Oreochromis niloticus: one gene and its partner. The protein of the gene in region 1 binds, or shares a complex with, the protein of each later gene. Links are inferred from orthologs where the notes say so. Each region holds a gene or a part of one and is shown on either strand. Other genes may lie near its edges.

Region 1 (12,860 bases):
CTACAATAGGAAACAAAATGATTTTTACTTTACACATAACATCAGTTGAATTCAGGAGAAAACATAAGTTCTTGTTCATTTAGCCCATTGCTAAATGGGCTAAATGAACAAGAACTTCTTTGGCAATACAACACACATATTCAGTGTGTTGTACTGCCAAAATGATGTGAACTAGAGTACTATGCAAAGGTTTTGAGCCTTCATATTTTACTTCCAAGCAGTCAGACTGTCCTGTTATTTTTTTAAAGCCTTGTTCTGCCGGAGGTTTCTTCCTGTTAAAAGGGACGTTTTCCTTCCCACTGTCACCAAAGTGCTTGCTCATAGGGACGTCATATGATTGTTGGGTTTTTCACTTTATGTATTATTGTAGGGTCTACCTTGCAATATAAAGCACCTTGAGGCGACTGTTGTTGTGATTTGGCAATGTATAACTAAAACTGAATTGAATGTTTGTTTCTTAAACCACTTAGCACTCACCAACGAATAATTCAAGCATAACAAGGCCCCAAACTCAAGAGATTAACTAGTGTTGTGTCTACACATCAATTAAATTAACTAATATGTCTGTTAATTAGATAGAAAAACAAACATCACATCACTATCAGTCATGGACTGGCCTCCCCAGAACCCGCACCTCAACCTTATTGAAGCAGTGTGGGATCACCTTAACAGAGAATGGAAGAAAAGGCAGCCAACACCCAAAGAAGAGCTTTGAATGAGAAGAAATCTGACTAAGAGTTCAGGCTATGTTGAAGAACAAAGGTTGTCATACCAAGTATTAAAGTTCAAGCTTGTTAGAACTGAAAAAACTCTGATATGTCTCATATTCTGTATTTCTATGTATGCTTTCATGTATTTCAATACATTGTTGCACCCACATTGTTTTTCTAGCAGAATATAAAAGAGGAGTGGTGCAAGCTTTAGATATGAGGCTGAGGAACACAAGAAGTGCCCTGAGGGTGGCAGGAGGATTATATCGCAGCAATCATCCCTCCAGGCAGCAGCATGACCTGGGTTCATGGGGTTAGGGGGGGGGGTCAGAGATCTGCCAATAACACATTCTGCTAATTACATGACATGAATAAAAATACATGCATATCCTTGTTCACAGAAGCAAAAACACACTAAGGTCATGTGCCTTTTAGCCTGCAAATTAACTGACTGTATGTAGTTCAAACACAAACACCACAAATAAAACCAGCACAGACTCCGCTCCCCTGTGTTAAAGTGTTTGCAGTAGCTCGTGTGGCAAAAGTGAGGCTACTGAGGTCGGTCTGCAATCTTCTCTTGGGAGTTAGCTTGGTGCTAGGCTAGCTGGAGAGTATGTTATGGTAATGGGAGGGAAACGGGCTGTTTTTCCAGACACATAAAATAAATCAACATAAACATGCAGTGCTAATGATTAAAATAGGAACTCTGAATGACATAAACCAACCTATTTTCCCATCTTTGGACATTAAGCACACAGACAAACATCTAAAGCAGGGCAGACAAACTCCTACTCTGGATTTACACCATGAAGACATGGGAAAGCACTCTGTGTGCACCCCTGAGAGTTCGCCGGGTAATGGTGAGAGGATAGATGTGTGCCTGTTTGGAGTTATTTCACCTTCAGAGACATGGTGGCTTCCAGGCAACAACATCCCCTGAGGCATTTCACACTCACTATGTGAACAAGTACACATGCACGCAGACACAACACAAGAAAGATGGATTCTAGGTTTAGCAGCAGCTCTTTTCTTGTCCTGATTTTTAAAGTAAATTTATATAAATAACGCTGTTTTCTAAAAGTACGTGTGTGTATATGTACACATGCTGTTAATTCCAGCTGAACAGACTACTGGGATTTCCTTGCTATTGATTTGCTCAACAGAGGCATCATCAACATCATGCAGGGTAGCTGGTGACATAGAGAAGGAGACTATAGCTTCAGTCTCAAAAGTGGTTTCTGCTGTTGGATACTTCACTGTCAAAACATCTCCTTCACAACTGTAAAGCAATAAATAAATAAAAAAAATACTGGCGGTGGCCAGCGGTACCCTTCAGCCTCCTAGTAGATACACCGAAGGTATGAATTTCAAAACCCCACGTCCCCTCGTTCTCAAGGTATTGCATTCACAAGATTTTCAGAAAACTTGACCTCTCACCTCCAACCTTAAGATCAAGGTCACCGAGATTCATAGTAGATACACCAATAATATCAATTTGAAAGTCCTACATTGGCTTGTTCTCGAGTTATCACATTCACAAACTTGGCTGTCTGTGTTGCCTGCCTGTCTGCCCAGCAGAGTTATAACAATACTCCATCAACCCTAAGTACAAACTATCTGCTGAGGAAGAGCAAAAGGTGCGTTTGAAAGTAGCTGGACCTTGTGTTGAGTGTTTGTCTCTGCGAAGCTGCTGTTTTTCTGTTGCTCAGTGACTCTTATTCCACACAAATCAGTATTCATTTTATTATACTGGCATGCTTCAAAAGGCATTTGTTTGAGTCAGAGATCATTTCAAACAGGCTTGGCAACGATGACTGACACATGCCTCCCGCACTCAGACGTCACAACAAACGCTGCCTGTTTAAACACTGGATAAAGACACCAGTTGCTGCCCTTTTACGCTCTTTACTTGGATCTTCAAACTGGAACAACATGACAGGCACAAATCAGAAACATCAACATCCGATATTTAAGAGGTCATGGGGTGCACATTTTGGCGACAAAAAATATAATACGCAGAGTCATGCTTGTTCAGGAATTTCAAGAGGCAGTGAGTCACGTCATCCTCTAAACAATCGTCACATTCACTAAACAAACATACACACACACACACACACACACACAAACACGCCTCTGCCTTTTCTATTTACTTCACAGGTTATCACTTCATACCTGAACAGTTCTGCTGGCGTTAATATGCTCCTGATGAAGGCGATCCCATTGCTGGGTATGCTGGTACTGTGAAAGTAGAAACTAGCAGTTATTTATCTGAAGGCTGGAAGTAAGGGTTTGAAAGTGAGGTTGTGATCCTGTGCGCAGCCAGATTTGAGCCGTCACCTTCAGTATGTTGTTATGGTGTTTCTGCAGTCTCTCCAGGTCTGTGGGCAGAGCCACTTTAATGAACTTGTGGATCGGTGCCTCCAGGCGCCTCAGTGTCAGCTTGTTGCCTTCCTCTGCCATGTGTCCCGCTGACTGCCCACAGCCAACACTACTGCGTAACTTTGACAAGGCACCTGCTCAGCTTTATCTCGCTGCGCCCACAGATACTGTAAATACCAGCAGAGTATTTTAATATACGAAATTAATAAACTCCGTCTGCATTTAAAACTGTCACCTCAAAAGGCCAGCGTCCGGTGGCATAACCAGACAGTTTGCACAAGGGTGGCCGTGATCAGACCATTACTTACACTGAGGTGTGACAAAAAAAATCACATTTAACCATCTTATTGTTTTTTGTTTTTTTTAAACAGGCCAAACTGTTGTACACCAAATAGTTAAGTTTAAGTCATTAACATTTGTTTATGGAAACAGACATGTACAAGCCATTCCCCTCTGTGTATCAAAGTATTCTAGATTCAAATGTGAGGCCATCTGTCTGACAGATAAAGCCTGGCCCAAATTGGTTCATGCAGACAATGATCCCAAGCACAGCAGCAAATCCACAACAGAACAGCTAAAAATGAAAAGAATCAAGTTGGTGCAAAAGCTCAAAGTTACGACCTCAAACTCATTGAAATAATGTGGTGGAATCTTGGATCTACAAGCTACTGAATCAAAGGGTGTACTTAGTTTTCCACAGGACTGCATAATATGTGTTTACACTGCCAAAATGTTTTTAAGTACAGTAAGTACTATCATTAAAAAAATGTTAGAAACAAAGCAAACAAAAAACAGTGACAGTTACTAGATAAAACTTCAGTTTTTCGTGTATGTTAATGTTTAAACTATCATTTGAAGAGATGTACTTGGGCTTTGGTGAGGATAACTAGCCTCACTGAACTTTTTTAATACTCTCTGAAGATGAAATTGCGAAAACAGATCTAGTATTAAAAAATACAATTAATTAATCCATGCCTTGCAGCTTTGTATTAACACTGTACTGTAGATGTTCATAATAAAACTGATATGTGTATCATTCAAGCATATACAAGGCACTTAAATCAAGTGATAAACCAATGATATGCCTTCAAAAAACAGAAAACTTAACAAATAACCAATTTTAAATTATACATTTTAAAATTGGTTAAACATTTTTACTGGCAGCCTGTCACAAAAATACACAATTTGTTCTCGTTTTAGTCGAATCTATGAAAAAAGCCAAAGTTCACACAGTTTGACAGGCATAAAATAGTGTGTTTGTACCAACATGGTGATTCCCAAACAGCTATTAGGTAAGAACTTGGAATATTTCGGCATGGTGAGCAGTGTGTCCTGATAAAGAAATAAAGGAAATCGGGTCCTTTAGTTGAGTCATCAACTGTGCACTGAAGCCTCATTAGAAATGGTCTCAGTGGAAGGATGGCTGTCAAGAACCCTTCTTACAAAGCAGAAATGGGGTGAAAAGGCTGAGGTGTGCACAAAAACCAAATTGATAAAAAAAAAATAAAATAAAATAGTGGAATAGGTGTTATGGACTCATGAATACAAATTTCAAGGGAGACAATCATGAGTGTCTACATTCATCTGTAAAACACAATGGAGGCTCTGTCATGGTTTGGGGCTTGGGATATCCTCAAAAAAAAAAAAAAAAAAAAAAAATCAGAAAGCCATAGGTAATTCATTTTTCAGCAATGACATTAATCCCAAACACACTGCCAGATTCTCTAAAAGCATACCTGAATAGAAAAAGCACAATGGAACCGTCAGTCCTGGATTGTTCTCCCCAGAGGCCCAGATACAAGTGGCTAAAAACTTTTGCAAAGTAACTCTTATTAGCAGTTCTTACCAATAAAAACAAACAAAATCAACAACAACAAAAACACCAGGTTATTTTACTTGTCGTTGTTTTGTTTGTTCCAGCGTTAATGGCAATTAACTTCGGATTGACGTAAACAGTTTGATGACGCCTTCTACTGTTCCCTTCAGTCCATATTTCGAGGACACGTCGCACGAACTGTCCCTGAACAGAAAGTGAAATCACTCAGTTTGGCTAATGACAGCAGACTGGCCCAGCAGGTAACGCTAAATTAACCCATTAGTGTCACTAGCTAACTGCTGAGGACGTTAAGAGCTTTGTGAACGGCAGAAAACTTCCCAGACGGAGTTACTAGCTAATTCAGTAACTTCACCCGGATACAGAGAGCCATCAGCCCGCTGCTGAAAACATAAACTAACAGGGCGCACATCGACACTTACCAGTAAAAACACAACTCGACAAAGTCATTTACACTCGCTAATGACTACTGCGAGCCTCCATGTTATAAAAAAAACTTAAACGTTCAGACAACAACTCGCTGCCGCTTCGGACAGCGGGGTTGTTTATAAACAGCTCCCAGTACGTCCGCGAATAGTTTCCGACCACAATCAGCAGCCCCAAAACATAATGTTCCTCATCACTACCCCGTGATGCCTGTCCTGACAGCAAATCAGTGACATGTTTCTAAAATAATACTCCCGCTGACGGTAGTGTTTATTTCCCCCATCGGTCACATTTTATTGCTTCAGGAAAATGACTGTTTATCATCTCTTCTTCATGTAAAGAAAAAAATTAAAAGATTTGCGCACCCAATTTCTTACATTAAAAATTTAGGATGCAGTAGCCACTAGTTCTACCCTGCCCCCCCCAAAAAAGCCTTATTTATCTGAATAGTGTTATTAGATTTAAAACAATATATTTTATGTTCTTTGTTAAAGATAAACGATGACATAACAGTGAAACTGACCAGTTCAATTAACACAGATATGAACTTTTTGTGGCCACTTAACATTTCTAAGTTGGTTGGGGTTTTGTTCGGGGTGTTTGGACTTCACAGCTTAGTCATTTCAAAGCTGCTGGCCTCAGCCCTGATATGTGGTCATACTGTTTTTTAAAATACACTGTGAAAGTGAAAATGTATGACATTTCAAAAATGTGTCACGGTCCTTTCTTTTTTTTCTTTTTTCTTTCTTTTCTTCTTTTTTTTTTTTTTGCCAGCCAGACATTTAAAATAAAATGAACACGTGCTACAAATAAATAATACAAGTTAGAAATGCTAGATTTTTCACACTTGCGCATCTTCCACACAGCTTTTTACCGTGCGTGAAACAGCATCAATCCTGTGGAAGGAAACATTAGATGTGATATTTTTTTTGTCTGTGTTGCGTTTGGAAGAAAGACTGGGGTTCCCCCTCCTCTACTGTGAGATCAGCCAGCGTGAGTGGGTCTATTGCATGTTTCCACTTCTGTTCTTCAGCACCTTTTACCTTTGACATTTAGGCCAACCCCCCACACACTCTTCCCTCAGCGGATGCTCCAATGCGAAGGGCCACAGCACACAGTCCCCAGCTACAGGGGATTTCCCCTGGTGCTGTACACATGTTGTTAATGTGTGTGTGTGTGTGTGTGTGTGTGCGTGTCTGTGCTCATATGTGTTTGCTTGTGTTTATGCAAGTGTGTCTGTCCACTTTCAGGGGACTCCCAGACTTGCAGACTGAGGGGGGAGGAAGGAATAGAGCTGATAGCCTAAATAGCAAATCATCATAAAAAATGTTTCTGTCTCTGTGTTTGTGGAGACAGAGAGAGAGAGAGAGAGAGGGAGGGAGGGAGGAGGTGTCTGGGCGTGTGTAAGTAGTACCCTTGATGTGGGCACATCAATCTGTTTACAAAGAAGAAGTCCCTTTATGTAAATCATTCAGGTTTAAGGTGAAGACTTGCTGTGAGGTTATGGTTTCGTCAGGGAAGCCAAACTCATTTAAATCAAGTGGGCTGGACCAGTGAAACTGACCTTTCTGTCAGTTATAATATAAGAAAATGTTATATAAGAAAATTACATGTAATTTCATCAGCAGTTCACAGTTTTTCTACACGATAAAGAAATGCTGCTGTAGGAAATGAAAGAAATGTGTCAGCATGACTCTTTGGGCTTAAACTATAAGAAATAAATGTGCGAAATTACAGGAAATGCTCTGTTAGCTTGTTGCTCAGACTGTGATTTAGGTATAAAACAAAGCTTCTGTTAATTCACAGAATTTTTCCCTTTTTTTAACCATTGTAAAACATAATTTCTCCTTCACATTTTCCAAAGCTGTCCAGTGGGCCAGTTTAAAGTCTTTGATGGGCCAATTCTGGGCCCCGGCCTTATGTTTGACACCACCGTTTTAAGTGAATAGTCAGAATCAGTGATCTGGCGTGAATGAAACACCACTGTGTGTGTTTAAACGTGTCGTTTGGGGTCCCAGGAGGACTCAGGTGCCATTTGTTTCAGTCTAATCCGGGAAGTCTGTCAGCAGGAGAGGAAGCAAGCAGGGAGCTCCATTCACGTCTTACCTCATGAATCTTTACTGTTTTTTGTTGTGGCAGGTGTGATTAGCACATCCTGATGCCTCGGTGGACATGGGCCTGTTTTTTTTTTTTTTTCATGGTAGACTTTGTGACAAGTCATGGTAGGAAAACACAGGTGTTTCTAATAACATTAAGTATGGCAGGTGGTCCAATAAGCCAGGACACTGCTTCCAAAAAAAGCAGAACCATGAACCCGAAGCCGCTACATAAACATAGTCATGATTTTAATTTCCCTGTCCTCTTGATGTGTACATGAAAACACGCGTACTGTTGTTTATACATGGCTTTATGAGAAGAACTTATGAATTGAGAACCAGAGGAATACATGCTTTGAATCTGTGAGTGTGTGTGTGGATGTGTGTGTGTCTATATGTTCTAATGGGACCTCTAATTAAGACTCTGGGTATCTGCTATCTGTCAGCACTGATCGATCGGCCTGGAGAGTGACAGCTCAGCATGTGAGTGTGTCTGTGTGTGTGTGCGTAGATTTTGCTCTTCATGCTCTCTGCTTCGTGTCATGTTATTTTACATGTAACGCAGTTATAGGAGGAATATTAACACTTCGATTTTCTTAAACATGTACACAATCATACCACTTTAAGAAAAAAAGTGTAAATGTTTTTTTCCTGCATACTCATTAAAAAACACATCACAGTCCCCACCCACCAACCTCCGAACCAAAGGAGGATGAAGTGTTGGACATATATGTTGTTATGTGCCACATGCACTCAGAAACACACAGAATTATAAGTAATATACTGATAATGTTTATGGGCATTTCCAGGTTAGTATGTGTCACTGAAAGCCATTGTGCTTCATCTTTCTAAAATTATTATCTTTTTCATAAAGGGGAAAGTTTAAACATCACAAAACAGAAGATGTGGTGGTGCGTGCTCACTCTTAACTTTACTTTTGTGCACTTTCTTTTGCTTCTACCCACTTTTTTTTTCTTCCCCACACACATGCACAGATAGAGCTGTTCACAATTGTCTAACAGTTGCTATCAATCACCTGGCTGTTAGAGACAGAGAGTGTGTGTGTGTGTGTGTTAGCAGTAACGCTGTTGTGCAGGACGGCAAGTGAGTGATGGCGGTAACAGTATAGACGGCATGTGCTGTGAAATGTCACCGTGCCGATCGATGGTGTTTAACGAGGCTGGAGGCTGATCTGGACCTCATGCTAACATGAAGCTCTTCTCCCCGCCCTCTTCCTCCCCCTCCTCACTTTCCTAATCCCTCTCTACTCTCTGTGAGAGCCCGAGGGTCCCCCAGGAGAGAGACAAGGCCTTTTACCTGTCAAGAGGCTTTTGTGTCTGACAAGTGACACACACACAATCATGCACACATCCACATACTCACTTAAAAAAAAAAAAAACCATGTAAAAATGTGGCTGAAATTTGATGTTTTGTTACCTTATATAGAAAACAATATTTTGTTTGTGCTTTTTCTTTCTTTTTTTGTCAATGAACTTTAAAGAATCAAAACACAGGACACAGCCGGGGTCAGAATAATCAGAACTAGTTTATGATTTCAAAGTGCTGAACAGAAAATCCAGTGAACCAAAGAGAAAGAAAAAAAAAACAACATATCGAACAGGAAACTCTAACCAAAGAAGGACATTGAAAAAACAGCAACTTTTTTTCTCTTTTTTTTGTTTCTCTTCAAAAAACAATGCACAACTCGTACCACAATATTTGAAAAAGCTAAAAACACTTCAAAATATTAGTTTTGTATATATATATATATATATATATTTATATATATTTATATCTATAGAATTTGATTTTTTTTTTTATTTTAAAACCGCCATCGTTGTGAGGGTGTGAGTGGGTGGTGGAGGCCCTGGGGAGATTCCCATAGAGCTGCAGTCTGAGACACAAACACAGGTCGAGCTGTTTTGACAGGCTATGCCAGCTCTCGACAGCTTATAACACACCATGCATATGATCCTGGCTTCTCTAAGCGCACACACAAAGACGGTAGGCGACCATGTCCTCCACACTCACACAGCCTCCGCGATATATAAAACGATAAAGAAAAAGAGCATGAACGTGGAATGTTTCACCCCCGGACGTACAGCTATCTGTCGAGCACCCTCCTCTCCCCGTTCTCCAGGTGAGCAGGTAGGGTGTGTGTCTGTGCTTCTAGCCCTTCTCAGGGTTTAAGTGCTTCCAAAGCCAATTTCTGTCCATGTTCATTCTTCCACACTCCTACTCGACCTATGATTTCAAAACGACTTAATAAAACAAACAAACAAAAAAACAAAACAAAAAACCACATAGTAGAGAAAGTTCAAGTCTGGGTGACTCAGTCATCGATCGTTAGTGCACAGTATCTCCTCTGCTGTCTAAAGCAAGATGGGAGACTGTCTTTCTTTTTAGCTACTGACAGTACAGGACAAGTTTTTGTATTAAAATAATTTAGAGTTTGAAATTAGATTCCCCCTCCTTCTCCATCCCTTCCTCTTGTGGCGCGATAGCACTTAAGGAATTGCACTTGTAATTAAGAGCCCGCCTCAACAGCCACTTCCATGTGTTTATGAAACACCTGCGTCCTGCGTCGTAACATTTCGGCCCACCTACGCCTACGCCGCTCCACCTCTGATATGTCGGCACATTTCGGAACGATCACCTCCCCCTCCCCACACTCTCTCTTTTACACCGCCACCTCTCCCAGCCCTCCTTTCTAAACGGAAGTCCTCAGACAGACCGAGCCGGGCCGAAACACAGATAAACAGTACTCATAAACTTCGGTTCTTTCTTTGTTTTTTTTTTGTTTTTTTTTGCCGAATAAGCTGCAACCCAGATGGAGCGAGGACAGTCAAAAAAAGAAAGAAAAAAAAGTCACTTTTCTCCTGTCCATCTCGGCCTCATCATCCTCCCCCCCCTCCCAGCGTGGGGCGAAACAGGAGGACCAAATAAAAAGTGGTAAAGCGTTTGAGTAATTGTCTTTTATACAGGTGAAAAGCATTTAGCTGGTAGTCCGTTTGAGTGAAAGGCGCTCTCGTTTGGTTGTCCCCGTCGAGTCAAAAATATTTGATTGGCTCTCCGTGCGCTGCATCAGTCTCGAGAGAGAGTGCGTCTTCTCTCTCTTCTGGGTGTGTTTGCATGCTCCTTTGGGGAAAGGCCTTGACGGGACGTGATGTGGGTTCGTTTTGCTGCGTGGTCAGCCCGAGTTGTCAGTAGGGCAGAGTGTCCAGGAACCTGTCAATCAGCGGCGGAGGCGCTACCAGATCCTCCAGCTTCAGGTAGAAGATTCGCTGAAGGCCTTGGGTCCTCTGGGAACGAAGCTCTTCCCTTATACCCAAAATACGACTCAGAGAAGGGGCGGCCTTGGACGAGGAGGATGAAGGGCTGCAGCCCAGGTGGTCTCTGAGACAGCAGATCACTTTATTCTGCAACTCCTCGACCCGCTTTGAGTCCTTCAGACCGGGGACTTGCTCTGTAGATTCGCGAGAAAGAAAGACGGAAAAAGAGATGTTAGGAGAATAATCATTAAATGGCCAAAATAAAGTCAGTGAGGAAAAAAATACACACACATATACATACATCAGAGCTCATTCAGCTGAAAGAGCATTAGCTACATCTTCTTTTATATTGAATTCCACCTCATTAGCCCATATGGCTCATGTTCTTAACAGGCCTTAACCTGGCTCATTCACTACAGATCAATACTCAGTCTAATCTAATAAGCCCCCTTCTCACTGGTGTACCTCCACATGCACGGCTATATGAGCACATTTTTTATTTTCTTATTTTAAACATTTGCACAGAAAAAAAAGTCAGTGCAATTTAAGAAATTAAGACAAAGAGCGGAACAGAAGTGCTCAACAGTTAGCTGATTATTTGGCCCTGTGAGCAGCAAAATGAAATTAGAAATACACACACTGCTGCCCATAGCAACTCCAGTGGCACTTGTACAAGGCTTAATGTGACACTAACTCATTCTGCAGAGAACAGGGTGTCCAGCCCCCCAAACACAAACACACACACATACAGGCGCACTACGAGCTGTGCTGCAGGGGAGGCTGCCACTGAGACCCGTCTCACTTTGAGGTATCCATTATCCGAAGCTTATTTACTGTTTGTTTATGTGACTCTTTTGTTTGTTGTGTTTGCCGCTGCAGAGTCACTCCGGCCCTCCTTTCAGCGCGGCTTTCAGACCTCTCGCCACACAATTCCGCTTCCCTGTCTTTCTTCCCGCTCTCCCTACCCCTTCTTTCTCTATGAGCGTGAGCTCCCGGGGAGAGATCGATGACTGCCTTTCTGCACAGGCCACTCTGAAGCGGTCGATCGCCTGGTGGCTCTGGTGGCTCTGTCGTGGCTTTGCGCTGTGTGCTTTGCCGAGGTGGCAGAGCGCCACTGAGAACACCGCAGACGCCATTCCAGAGCCGCGCTCCACGGTGGGCTGGTCGATCAGGCACAGAGTTAAGTGCTCCCCCAGAGGGTGAGGATGGGGTTGGAGGGCTCAGACAGAAAGAGGTTGAGGAAGAGGAGGCGGCGGGGGCAGGGTGAAATAAGGAAGCTAAGAGCAGGGGGAGGGGGATTTTTTTATTTAATTTAATTCTTTTTTTTTTTTTTTAGTTCCTGCGCATTACTTTACAGCATCCAACACCGTAAAACAGTTTTAAAAAGATGAATATAAACACTTAACTGCAGACTAGTCTCTCACCTGATGCATTTTACTTAAAAAACTAAATCTGCCTCGCCTGCAGCGTGTGTGCTCTCAGAGCAGGCTGCGATTCTCCTTTCATTTTTCACACATGAACACTGATTAGAGGGCCAGGTGTGTGGCAGGTGCAGCAGGTGCTTCTGGGTATCAGGTTCTTGTTTCGGGGCAGAGATGTGTGGGAACACGCATGCACGTGTGTGTCTTTAAGCGTGTCTGACGTTAGAGGATGTGTCCACCTGATCACTGTCACACTGAATCACCAGCAGGCAAAACTCTGGACAACAGGAAGATGCTGTGTGTGTGTGTGTGTGTGTGTGTGTGTGTGTGTGAGCGTTTTATCTGTATATTCATGTTCAGCTTATATGATTGCCAGTGTTTATGAGGAGTAGAGAGGGGATGTTAATAACTTTGAGCACAGGTGACTATATGCGACCACAGAATTAGCATCCTTTGATTCTCGTTCCTCCCGCTAGTGAGCTCGTGATTGAAAATCTGTGGTTACCTGTGAGCAGCACAAGGGCGGCCAGGCAGGCGAAGGCAGAGGTATCCAGATTTAGGTTCTGGAGGTGAGCGGAGAATTCCTGGATGGAGTCTAGCCACTCTCCGAACCCACGAAGGCACTGGAACCTGTGCAGCACCAAGCCGTTACAGAACACTAGTTTATCCTCCGACAGCATCGACCTGAAGAACCGAGAGAAAAAAAAAAAGAAAGAGATGGT
Region 2 (12,182 bases), on another chromosome or scaffold:
GAGCAACTACAGGAGGCACGGAGGAACTAGTAGGGATGACTCCTGTGGCCAGTAAGATGATAATGAGGACAATAATTAGGACGATCACAATTATGACCACAATCAACTTGACATTCTTCCACCAGTAGGAGCGAGCCACCTTGTGAGACGTCTGCTTGAAGTGCTGAGCCTACGAAAGGAAAGAGACAGGAGAATCAATAAAATCATGTAATAAATTCTATTGCTATAACTCTGTTTAGTCTTGAGTTGTTAATATTTTGCTAGGAAAATGTCAAAGAGGTACAGTTATTTATTGAAATGTGCAAACATAAAAGGAATTTGTTTTTCCAGAGTCACCAATTGATACCACCACTTTTATTCTTCAACACAGTCTCTTAGGCAGTTTTCCTTAAGTGGTTTTCAGGAATAGTTCTCAGGCTTCTTGAAAGACATTCAAACTCTTCTTTGGATGTTTCTGCCTTTTGTCTTCCGACCAGATGATCCCACACTGCATCAACGATGTTCCAGTCTGGGCTCTGTGGAGATCAATCCACGACTGATGGTATTCCATCTGTGTGTTTTTCTACAAATCAGAGGCTTTCCAGATGATATTGCATGGTGGATCTAAAGCCAACAGTAATCTTGTTGATATGTTCATATTTCCATCAGCATCAATGACTGAAATGCAGGGCCAAACATTGACAGAGCCTCCATTGTTTTTTTACAGATGTGTGCAGACACTCACTGTTGTGCCTCTGTCCTGTCTTTCTCTGTAAAAGCTGATGAGCATTTAAACCAAATCATTTGAATTCATCACTTCATAAGTCCTGTTGCCACTGATTTTCAGTGCAGCTCTGGTCCAATGTGGCATGCCTCATATTTCCCTTCCTTAAAAAAGGCTACTTGGCATCCACCCTGCCACTGAGACCATTTCTGATGAGGCTTAAGGGAACAAGATGGATCAGCTAAACATCACTAAGATGTCAAGTCATAGCTGGGTTTTTCCCCCTCTTTCAGATGCTCTTCATCTGTTGTAGATGTAGTTTTAGGCCTGTCCACTTGTCCCGTTTCCTCAATATTTTCTTTTTGGTAAATGGCATCTGGGTATGTTGTACAAAGTTTTCAGCTTATACAATACCTTTCATGCCTGTCATGAGTCATCTTCGGCATTGTTCATAGATTCAGATAAAGAAATGAGAAAAAAATATGTTTCTGTAACAGGCTGCTATTTTTTTTTTTTTTTTTTTTTTTTTTTTTTAACCTGTCCCGTTTGGTTCTTTTGCCATCAGAATTATTGTCTAAAGGCGAAGAAAGATGCCCAACGGAACAGGCTGCTATTACCAAAGTGCCCAATTTAAAATGGGTTCTTTTTAACATTTTGTCTCTTATCTGTAGAAACAACACTGATTCATGGAATAGATGCCATGAGAGCGAATGTTCTCTGTGGGGGTCAGACACATAACATGGAAATCAAAGTCACCATAAACTTAGTGACTGAAATGGCAGCTTGTTGCAGTTAGATGTTTGCCTCGCAGTGTGTGGTAATATTGTAAAAAGGTGTACTCTAACACAAACTGTGATGCTTTTCCAAAATCTCACCACATCCTGTATTTTAGTACATTAAGTAGTGACAGAAAAGTAAAGTAAAATGAATGTGTAAAATAGCACCTGGAAACTCAAATTAGTGCTTGTGTTATTAGTTTATTTTTATTTTACCCAAAATACCACTGAGATCAAAATTAAAAGATCTCTGTGTCTTTAAAAAGAAACCTGGCCTCTGTCATGTCACCTAAATCTAAGTCAGAAACTCTGCTGAATTATAGGTAGTCCTAAAAAAGATGGAGGTACCTTCCTTGTCGAAAAATGAAGCAAATATGGAAGTTCCTAAACCTACAGTCTCTCTGAAGGCCACTTGAATATGACAGCTGTAGTAGCAAAAAGACTTCTGGTCCTTCAGAAGCCTAAAGAAAAACATTGTTCTGACCTGATTTCTAGAAAGTGTTTGCTAGTGAGTTTATGGTCCTAGTTTTTCTTTTTAGGTCATAATGAATAAAAACTATTTACTAAATCTTAATTATACCAAGGAAGATTATATGTGGTATTTTCTGCTCACTCATTATCTAACAACTTACCAATAACAAATCCTTATCCAGTGAGCACGCAGTTTTACTTTTAGCTCCACCTCTCCTCGTCACATCCATTTTTTCAAAAATGGCTTCAAAACAGGATTTCACAAACCAATGAGGGATGTATGACGGAGCATTAGGACAACATTAAAAACAATTGTGTTCAATTTGAGATTACAGTCAAAATAGTATTTTGAGAAAAAGTCAAAATGTGAAGATTAAAGTCGTCTACATTGTATAGAAGAGTTTTTAAAATTGTATTTCAGAATCTGTTTTAGTTACAAGACATGTGTCCCTTATACTGCTCATTAGATGTCACAGTAACCATGTCCATCTTTTACACTGTCTATGGCTGTAACATTAAGCCTGATTAGGAAATGAATGCTATTACTGTGTTTAAGATCTTGTTTTTCCATGAATGGAAATGGAATGTAAGTGTGGTCAAATACAACTGTTTAAGCTCTAAGAAGTCTTTTCCTGCTGCAACCACAACCTCAAGAGTACAAACGGATAACAAAACAGATAAAAGAGTAATTAGCTTTACTGCTAGGGGACGCTATAGTTGACCTCATTTGGTTTTTATTTTACATTTTACACAGTTGACTTTGTAAAAATCCTTAAAGTTGAATAAGGGCATGAAAAAGGCCACACTTCACCTGTTCTGTTCTGTAATGTGGAGAACCTGACACCGCCCGAAGTGACTTGTTATTCTGGTTTAACTGAACAGTATCACTAAGGTCACAGCTTACCAAGCTTTATTTACAAATGTGCATGTATGGGAGTATTGTCCACATCTCAGCCTGCTTTTACACACAGCCAAGTGAAAGTTAAAACTCTCACGATCACACTGACCCCTGCTTGCAGATCCTCTGTCTTGCCCATTAAGTCATCCAGCCTTTCTCCTCGTGCCAGGATCCGGTCCACATTCTGAGTCATGATGCTTTTCACGCCATCCACCTGATCCTTTAAAGCCTGCACCTTGTCCTTAGGCTCTGGCATTTCTTCTATTCCTCCGCGCTCCTGGTATAGAGAAGGGTCATTAAAGAACAGTTAGCTGCAATCCCTTTGCAGAAACCATTTTCTATTTTTAACAATGTAAAAAAAAAACAAAAAAAAAAAAACAAACCCAACAACCCTCCCCAAAAATACAGGGCCTCCTTGGATAACAGAAAACCACCAAAGCATGATGTTTAAAGACATCATCCCCCCCCGACACACACACACGCACACAAAATAGCGTTGGCATGAACTGCCTACAAGCAGAGCAATTCAAAAAATAAAAAGTATCAGCTGGGTGAACAGTGAAGTCTGCTCATCAATCAAGCATATGCTGCATGTAGCACTACTTTGTTCTCTTGCTTCAAGTCATAGACATTAAATGGGTGCAATTTTGAGATAGAAACTATGATATATCCTGTGATACTGATGCTTAGTTTGTTAAAGAAAAAAAAATGTTAACCTGGTTTAGCGTCAGTTTTAACAAAACCAAAATGTGTCCTTCGGCCCTGAAAACTTCAGGTAGCTATCTCCTGTACTTGTGCTTTGAGACCTCAAAAATGTCAGAGTGACTGTCTGAATATCAAAGGTTCTACTTCTTTTGCAAACCTGTCTCAGGAAAATCTCTAAAGACTCACAGAAGTGCACAGCTAAATTGCAAAAATATCCCTTTATAAGTCTTTGATGAGGCCCGGCCTCTTCATGTTTTATTGGACATGACTATCTCCACATGATTGAGTCTGCAAGTGACAAAGCAGCATATAATGTAAATATGTCCTTTTGACCCGTTTGTAACCACAGTATTTATTTACAAGCCCTTGAGCTGCACCTTGTGGCTGTCAACTGACCACTTTTATACATCTGTGAAGGTCTGCTAAGAGCCTGTGTGCATTCAAGAGAAACGTCAGCTGTTACCTCACATAGCTGTACATGTGATTTCAACGCAGAAATGCTGTGTGCAGTTGGGGGTGTGTCAGTAAACATGCAGGGACCACTCCGTCCCATGAGTCAGCAACAGACTGTAACAAAACTGTCTCTAGGAAACAGGGCAGGTTCTCCTGCGTCATGTGTCTCTCGCCTCTCCTGTTACCCCGCCCTCCCTTCTTTTCCTCCTTTTCCATTCATCCTTTTTCAGAAGAATTTTCTGAAAAAAAACCCAAACTCTGGAGTCATCTTTAATTTTCTTTTTCTTGTTATATCTTCATTACATGTGTTTAATCTCTCTCATTCCTCTGTACCAGTGCTAGGACGTCAGTCACTCAGGCCCACCGAATGGCTGATGCCTATCAAGTATCAATAAACAGAAAGTAAAGTGTCCAAGGCAGCTGCAGAAGGCGGCTACATTAAGAATCCAATTCAAATATTTGATATGTTGTAAGCTGAGTGACTTCAGTCTCTCTTTATAAATTGACAGATAAGGGGTCTTGTAAATATGTGATTGGTGCATGAGGAAAATGATCAAGGAAGTACACCTTAAAATGTTCCAACAGATATTTCCTGTTAAAATGTTTGACTGCAGCTGTAAATCCAAAACATTTATTCAAACACTGAATCCTTACTGCTCACACTGATATAGGCAAATTGGAAACTGCCCTAATCTGTGAGGACACACATTGAGATTTGAATACTACAGGAAGTAAGATTTTCCTGCAGGCTAGAAGGAAACGTTTTTATTTTAGGTCGACAATGTTGAGTCATTACAGATATTTAAAGAACTGCCTGGACGTTCTTAACTGTTCAGCAGAATAAACAGCACTGACTGCCAACAGATTATAATTAGTTCATTATGTGGCCTTTTGTGTTATTAGTTAACAAAAAAAGAAACAAAAAAAGTCTTCATAGCAGCCATTTCTACATTAAAGTAGGCAAAGAAATATGTTGCAAGGCACGCGCGCGCGCGCGCACACACACATATACATATGCCTCTTTTGTGCCAACATTAAATAATGTTAAAACATGACAGCAGTAAACCTAATTTAGCACGTAATAAACGCCACTTCAGCTGCTCTACCTGTAAAAGTTTATTTTTCCCCTTTACTAATAAAATAATTGTAATAATAATAATAATAATAATTTTAAAAAGTGTTGCCCAGTGGATAATATCTATTTTGTAAGGTAAGTTAGCATTAAACTGCTACTTGCTCAAGCAGAGCTTGGCTACAGGCGAATGGCTCCACCAACGACCTGTGAAACATTCTTCAAATACGTGAAAAACAACCGTTTATCAGTTAGTAACATGTATTATAAATAGATAGTAGTAAATGGAAACATTTACTTGAAGTATGCGGCTTTATTTTATGGAAAACAAACGCATCTCAACTTTACAAAAATCATTTCCAACACGTACTGAGTACTGTGTGTAATTAGGCCATTTTTTTTAAGCTGCTTTACTTACTGCTTTACTCCCTCAAAAATGAAAAAGTTAGTGCGCCGACTTAAGTTATTTTCAGTCGAGGTAGGTTTCAAGTTAAGTACAAGTTGATTTATGTGGAAGAACACCTGTTTGAGACTGTCGCTGAACAAACTGGTGACGGCGGGGAGGCTTTCTGAACAACATAAACAAAGGTCATTATCACCTACCGGATCAGTGTCCATCTTGCTGGAAAAAATGTCCTCTATCCGCAAACCGAAGGATCTACTTTCTTTAAAAGTTGACGATTTGATTTAAAACCTTTTAAAACCAGTTTAAAGTCTCGAAGCAAATACGTTTCTCCCTGTTTTACTTCCTGGTTGTTTTTTTCCTCCCTTAATTGCCTTCTTCCAACTGTTAAGTGAACGACAACTCCGTTTCCGCCCTTTGGTTTCCAAAATAAAGCAACCTAACGTTTTAGGCTACAGTGGTTGGGTAAACATTAAAGAAAAAAAGTTTATATAAACAAATATGTCTCCTTTAATTTTTACACAGTAATATTCGTCATTATATTTTATATACTCGTATTCAGATATTGATTTTCACTACCTGTAAAAGTACTGTAATGATTTTGAAGCGAATCAAACTTTCATTGTAGACCTACGTGCTTTTATTTTGCAGGTGCATACGTTTACTTCCTTTATTGTCTCCAAAAACACCTGTAGGCGGCAGTCCCTCTTCTATTGTTAAAGAAGGCGTCATACCAAGATGTACCCATGATATGCTGGCGGTGAAACTTTCCGAGAACTTTGTGTTCAGGATGGCTGACAAACTTGCTTTCTAACTTAGCATAACTGTAAAGTAACCCAATGCATTTTTGATAGTAAACGAGGATGTACATATTTGTATACGGGGTTTTTTTTTTAAGTTTCAAGGGGGACAACAGTGAAACTGGAGAGCAGCACTCTTAAAGATTAGCAGCAGTGGCCTCAGCTCAGTTACTCCTCCCTCTCCTGGTGTCACAAATTTCAGCCAGCTAGCAGCTTGAGCCCTGACAAACCGGTTTCTTTGTCTGGTGAAACTGGTGACGAAGATTGAATATTGGTCATTGCATGCCCTTATGTCATGACTGCTGCAAGCTGCTTTGAATCAGAAGCAGCTAAAAATAATCAAAGGCATTACGTCAATTTGGGAAAACTGTTTGAAAGTCATTGTTTAAGTGTGCTGAAATACTGCCTGTTCATTCTCAAAGAACAAAAAATGTGGGGTAGCATGTTTTGGAATTAATTTCTCCATCAGATTTTAGAAAAAAAGCTTTTATTTCTGTTCACAATGTACATTTTTTGTGTGCTGTTGAGTAGTTAAATTAGCTACACACAGGATATGCATCAATTGCACAAACTGAAAGGAGAAACAAATGTTATACTATATTATAAAGAATAAAAGCATGTAGAGACAGGAGATAGAAACAGGACAGTGTCAAAAAGAAAAAATTATACAAAGTAAAGAGCTGAAAAAGAAGAGAATTGAAGAAAAGAGTAGCAGTAAGCCTCATATGATTCATAATTCCCTCAGTGGCCTTGTTTAATGATGATATCTGACATGTCATCAACCTTCACCAGCTCCAAATTCTGTAAAAAAAACAAAACAAAAACAAACATTAGGACTGACTATTTGTAAGCATGACACAGCAGTACTACATTTTAATGTACTCTGTGGACTTGCTGAACCAGATATGTAACTTTAAGGAACATCTGCCAGCCAATCAGGAATGAGAATGTTTGGACATCCTATTTCAGGAAATAAAGAATGAATGAATGAACTGAAAAATAAATTGCCCAATTACACACCCAAACTTCCCGTTTCCTTCCTTAGTTAAATTTCCTGGTGCTAAAGCAAAATAAATAAAATTTTTTAAAAGGCCATAGTGGCAGAGTCTGTTTCAGGCTTTATTCATGCTGTTGATTGTATGAAACCACATCAATGTCTGATCTCACCCAAAAAAATAAAAAAATATTGCATACCCCCAAAAGATGCAAAAATACTACTTACAAATGTTTAAATTATCAATATTTTTTAAAAATTCAGATCAAAAACACAATTTATTTTTTTTTTGTCTGTCCCGTTTGGTTCTTTTGCCATCAGAATTATTGTCTGAAGGTGAAGAAAGATACCCAACGGATTTACTTTACCAAATGGACCATCCCAGCCTTGCTGTGATGGTCTATTTGATTCACCTTTTATTGTTTATTTTATTTTTTTTTTATTTTCACTTGCTAGATACGGGACAGACTTGAATGAGGAAAAGAAAAGGGAGAAAGAAAGAGGGGGAAAAATGAGCATATGAGCAAATGAGCAATGAGCACATATCAGCGGGCGGAGGGAGGTTTGGAGTCTTCTCACACCCCTGTTCTCTGCGGCCTGCTGGAGTGGGGGGGGCTAGGAGGAGGAGTTGGCTATCCGACTGGGGTCTGGAATGTGGGGCCTCCCTGCTGCTGCGGAGTCGGGGTGGTCTGCTTCCCCCCACCGCAGGGAAAAGGGTAACACCACCTGGGTTTGGGTACAGTTTCCCCCTCCAGGAGCAAGGGTACCTAGACCCGGGGCTTAGAGTACGCTTGGGGAGTGTGATTGTGTGTACAGTGTCTCTCTATGTCTGTCTCCACGTTGGTTGAGTGTTGAGTAATTGCATATGAGAGCATGAGGGTGGGAATGGATGTTTGTATCTGTGTGTGCCTGTATGTCTGTGTCTATATGTCAGGTTGGGTATCAGACGCCACCTCTCTGGGGACATCTCAGGCCCTCCAAGGTATGGAGGCCTATCTCCCCCCACCACTCCCCCTGCCAGTGGCAGACGCCCTCAGACATCGGTGCGTTGGTGGTTCTTTGTGTCCGGGGATGGGCGTCCAGGTACGCACCGGCTCACTCCTGGTGGCTGCTTATCGGGGCCTGGAGCCTGGGGAGCTCACGGGCACGTCACTGCAACCCCCCCCTGGCTTCTGCTCCGCGGCTGCTGAGTGACCCCTCATCTGGGACTCTCCTCAGCTCTTTCTGGGATAGTGGCGCGGCTGCCCCTCTGTTGGTCTTCCTTGGTCTCTTGTGTTCTGGGGGCCTCTGGATGTCTGGAGTTTTGATCTCCTCCATACCTGCTTCATGCCCTGGAGGACGGGGCTGTGGCCCCCCACACCCTCTAGCAGATCATTACATGAAGGAACCTTTTAAAAACAAGCGCGTTCATGCTCACAGGTGTACACACGGGGGCTCACACACACTAACTACACCCTTTTTGGCTCCTACCTCAAAGCACACTGTGCGCTGTCGATCTTACGTGCTGCACAATAATGTTTAATATTTAGTATTTACTGTTATATTCCCATATATCATCGTGATGTTGTTTATTCTGTTGCTCTCGTTTTCTTCTGCTTGTTTTCTTTTTTCTTTCTCAACAGGTGATCCAGGTGATCGATATATGTATTTTTTGTCTGCTTATTTTGTTGGTTTTTGTTTTTTGCCCTTTATCCCCATCCCTCTTCTCCGCTGTTTTTCCCCCCTCAAAAACATAATTTAAATTTTAATGATCAAATATCAAAAGCTGTCATTTAGGATGTAATTTTATTTATTTTTATTAGCCTTATCAGCATTTGTGATAGCTGTCTAATGGCTTACTCTTCTACACTGTGCCAAATAAAAAGACGTAATGAATTCAGTGGAAGCAAAACACATCTTTAAGTTGTCAAGAGTAGGCTGCACTGGAATATAATGCAATAAATGTCGTTATCAGATATTTAAATCTATTAGTCCTCGTGTTTTCCACAACTTCTCCAGGAGAAGAGCAGAATGTACGATGCACAAATGTTTGATAAAGCAAAGGAAAACCTCAAGTTGGCACTGCAAATCAACATGAGGCTGCTCTGACTGAACATCTTCATCCTACGATGAAACATTTCTAACCTCCAGGAGGATAACACCGCTATCCACAGGGCACAAAAAATGCTTTAAATAGTATGAAGGTTAAAACTGCAGTTCCCCTAACCACCACTTGAGGTTGACTCAAAAGAAGGAGTCAATCTCCATAGACTCCCATGTTAAAATGCCTAACTGTAAAGCATTATAAAGCCTGGTACAAAAAATGTGTCTGGTATCTGCAGATGTAAGGTTTTACATCTCATCATCTAGATAATAGAGTTGGAGCATAGAGGTGTAGTCTGCTGTAGTCATTACATAACATTTACACTGTGTGTGCACTGTTGGTGTGTTTTACTGGATTATCAGACTAATATTATAGCTTACTATGTGGTACAAATCATCTCAGTAGTTTGTGCTTCAATAAACCAACAAGGTGCAGAGTCCAAAATCAATGGGTGACATCACATTAGCTTTAACCATCTTTGCATTTAAAGCCAATCTGGCTGCTATGGGAAGTGCAGTTTGATATTGGTTTAATTTTTCATCCCTTGATGCTGCAGCTCATTTTACACCAACATGAGGAGAGTACATTCATCATCATAATAATAAATGAAATCAAATAAACAAAACATACAGCAAACAACACTCACCTTTTCATTGGCAAGATGAAGTAAAGCAACAAACGCCAGTGCCACTGACAGGTTTTGAGCCATTGTGTTTGGTAATCTGAATATGTGTGAGAGAGAGACAGAGAGAGCGAGTGAGACAGAGAATTTTATATCACAGCAATGATGACTTTCATGATTCTAATGGAATTAGTATTTCAGTGACACCGTGATGTAATCGTGTATAGCTTCACACTAGCTTGTCAGAGAAACTTCTACATCTCAAAGCATAATTTTATATCTAATATTCTTTTGGTGAGGTCTGATACTCCTCATTAGAGCTGTGCCATGGCCGACATGACAAGAGGTCTGCTTGTACCTTTGAAGCAACGTCTTTGTGGTTTGACTGAACACTTTCTCTCCACACACTTCAGGTTTCTCCACAGTCTCCACCCCCTATAGGGAACACCAAGGAACAAGTAATAAAACACAGACTCAAACAGAAACGCAGTGAAAAAGGGCCGCCTGGCAGGCAACTGTGCCCACCGCATGCGAGGCATGACCAACCTTAAATTTGTCACTGTATGCACCACAGAAAAAAAGAAGCTAATACGTGGTGTGTAATTTACCTCTGTGGGTTTTTCTGGGCTGTCAGTCAGAAGAGTCCACATGCTGTTCTTGAGTCTCTTCATGTCCATTTTCTTTGCTGTCTTGGCGTAGTTGATTTCAATCTTGTTGACCTACAAAAACAATCAATAAAAGTAGAACTATAGAATTTTACAAACAAAAATTCTGCTTATAATATATCCATTATTAATGATTATTTGTCATAAGTCATACAGCTGTTTCAGTTCTATCTTCTATTTTTCAGTGGGGTATGATAAAAAAAATATTACTGCAGAAGCTTTTGAGCAGAGATGGTACTAAAGGGACGAGCCACTTAAAGCACAACTAAACTAGTTGCATTGCTCACCCTGTGTGGCTCAGGTACCAGATCCTCCTCCCCATAGGTGGACACCCCCTCGAGATCTTGTGAGGGCGGAGGCATGCTGTCACTCGAAGGCTGTGTGTCATCTGAACCAGCAAACCCTTCAACATCATCATCACTGTCACCTCCCTGAAACAGAAGATGAATAAAGATTTGACATGTGGTTCCTAATCAGTTGTTGATCTGCTGTGACGTGGATTTGTTAATTCTTTCATTCCTCAGCAGGTTTAGATGTTGCTTTTAGCTTCTTCCACAAGATTTGATGCAGAAAGGGTGTAGTTTCCATGTAGCGTTAGTCACAGGTGTGTGATACATAAAAGAAAAGGTTTTTAACAGCCGCGCTGATATAAAAATGTCATATAGAGATATAATTGCTATAGCACTGCCATGTATTTTTGTTTCCTAGCGCAGTCAGTGAGACAAGCCTAAGGATTTGTGAGACTGACAGCCCTGTGACAGCCTCTGATCACGATTTAGTACATAAATAAGGAACTATATCAAACTCGAGCACAGCACAGTACCTGCAAAATATGCAACAAAAACACACAATCAAGTACAACCAAGCTGTTCAGGAGATACTAGCAGCTGGTGACGTGTGACTCAAAAGTAGACAAGAATAAATGACTGCACTCAATACGACAGGAACAGCAAAACAGTGGATGGAAATCACTGATGTGGTTAAATGGTGAAAAAGTGGGGTTATTCTACTCAAAAATATCCATTTATTGGTCTTCCAACAAATTGATGTATTACATAGGGAGAGTAGGTGCCAGTTTGCTGCCATCTTGAACACAGGGGCCGAGATAGACATTGTTGTTCTGCATAATCACATTTAATGTATATGGTTAGACACAGGCCACATCTGTAGTATGTCAAATGCCGCAGAAAAGATGAGTCGTAGGCATTTGTAACTGATCAGAACAAAAGGAAAAATATGAATTTTTATTTCTTTACTAATACTAACAATATATACTAGTGATTGTTGTATGTGCGGAGCTACCTGTTGAAGTTATCCCTTGTGATAAATGAACACCTGAAATGAGCTTTCCTAGAATCAAATCAAAAGTGAAGCTAAAAAGAGTTTTTCAGACCTGTAGACCTGGACAGAAGTTGGCTGTGTCATTGGCGTTGTTGTAGTCATAATCTCCAATGCCTTCTCCGAGCTCTGCAGAAAGCCTCTTCTGTCCTTCTGGACTTAACTAGAGTAAACAAGACCAGATTGATCAATATTAATA

Evidence for each region.
Region 2: the proteins of stx17 (region 1) and vamp8 are in contact, whole or in part, in a crystal structure (PDB 7BV6), measured with the Homo sapiens proteins. The link is inferred for Oreochromis niloticus from reciprocal best matches to the Homo sapiens genes STX17 and VAMP8. Residues at the interface, in NP_060389.2 of Homo sapiens: Ser171, Trp172, Thr174, Leu175, Asp178, Leu179, Glu181, Leu182, Leu185, Val186, Phe189, Leu192, Val193, Gln196, Glu198, Lys199, Ile200, Ser202, Ile203, His206, Val207, Ser209, Ala210, Asn213, Val214, Glu216, Gly217, Thr218, Asn220, Leu221; in NP_003752.2 of Homo sapiens: Gly9, Val13, Leu16, Gln17, Val20, Glu21, Val23, Lys24, Met27, Thr28, Asn30, Val31, Ile34, Leu35, Arg37, Gly38, Leu41, Glu42, Leu44, Arg45, Thr48, Glu49, Leu51, Glu52, Ser55, Glu56, Phe58, Lys59, Ser62, Gln63.

What each region holds. Positions count from the first base shown.
Region 1 is NC_031976.2:19,884,597-19,897,456, reverse strand, and holds the start of stx17 (syntaxin-17), read right to left. Parts: upstream 5,526-12,860; 5' UTR 5,346-5,525; intron 5,110-5,345; 5' UTR 4,986-5,109; intron 4,902-4,985; 5' UTR 4,826-4,901; intron 3,257-4,825; 5' UTR 3,171-3,256; coding exon 3,048-3,170; intron 2,949-3,047; coding exon 2,883-2,948; intron 1-2,882. Other genes in the region: nr4a3 (nuclear receptor subfamily 4 group A member 3), read right to left, coding at 10,649-10,911, 12,644-12,822. UniProt on the Homo sapiens protein: SNAREs, soluble N-ethylmaleimide-sensitive factor-attachment protein receptors, are essential proteins for fusion of cellular membranes.
Region 2 is NC_031977.2:6,104,482-6,116,663, reverse strand, and holds the start of vamp8 (vesicle-associated membrane protein 8), read right to left. Parts: upstream 5,887-12,182; 5' UTR 5,697-5,886; coding exon 5,682-5,696; intron 3,126-5,681; coding exon 2,958-3,125; intron 170-2,957; coding exon 1-169. Other genes in the region: ncaph (condensin complex subunit 2), read right to left, coding at 7,023-7,082, 10,005-10,080, 10,339-10,415, 10,589-10,699, 10,933-11,076, 12,039-12,146. UniProt on the Homo sapiens protein: SNAREs, soluble N-ethylmaleimide-sensitive factor-attachment protein receptors, are essential proteins for fusion of cellular membranes.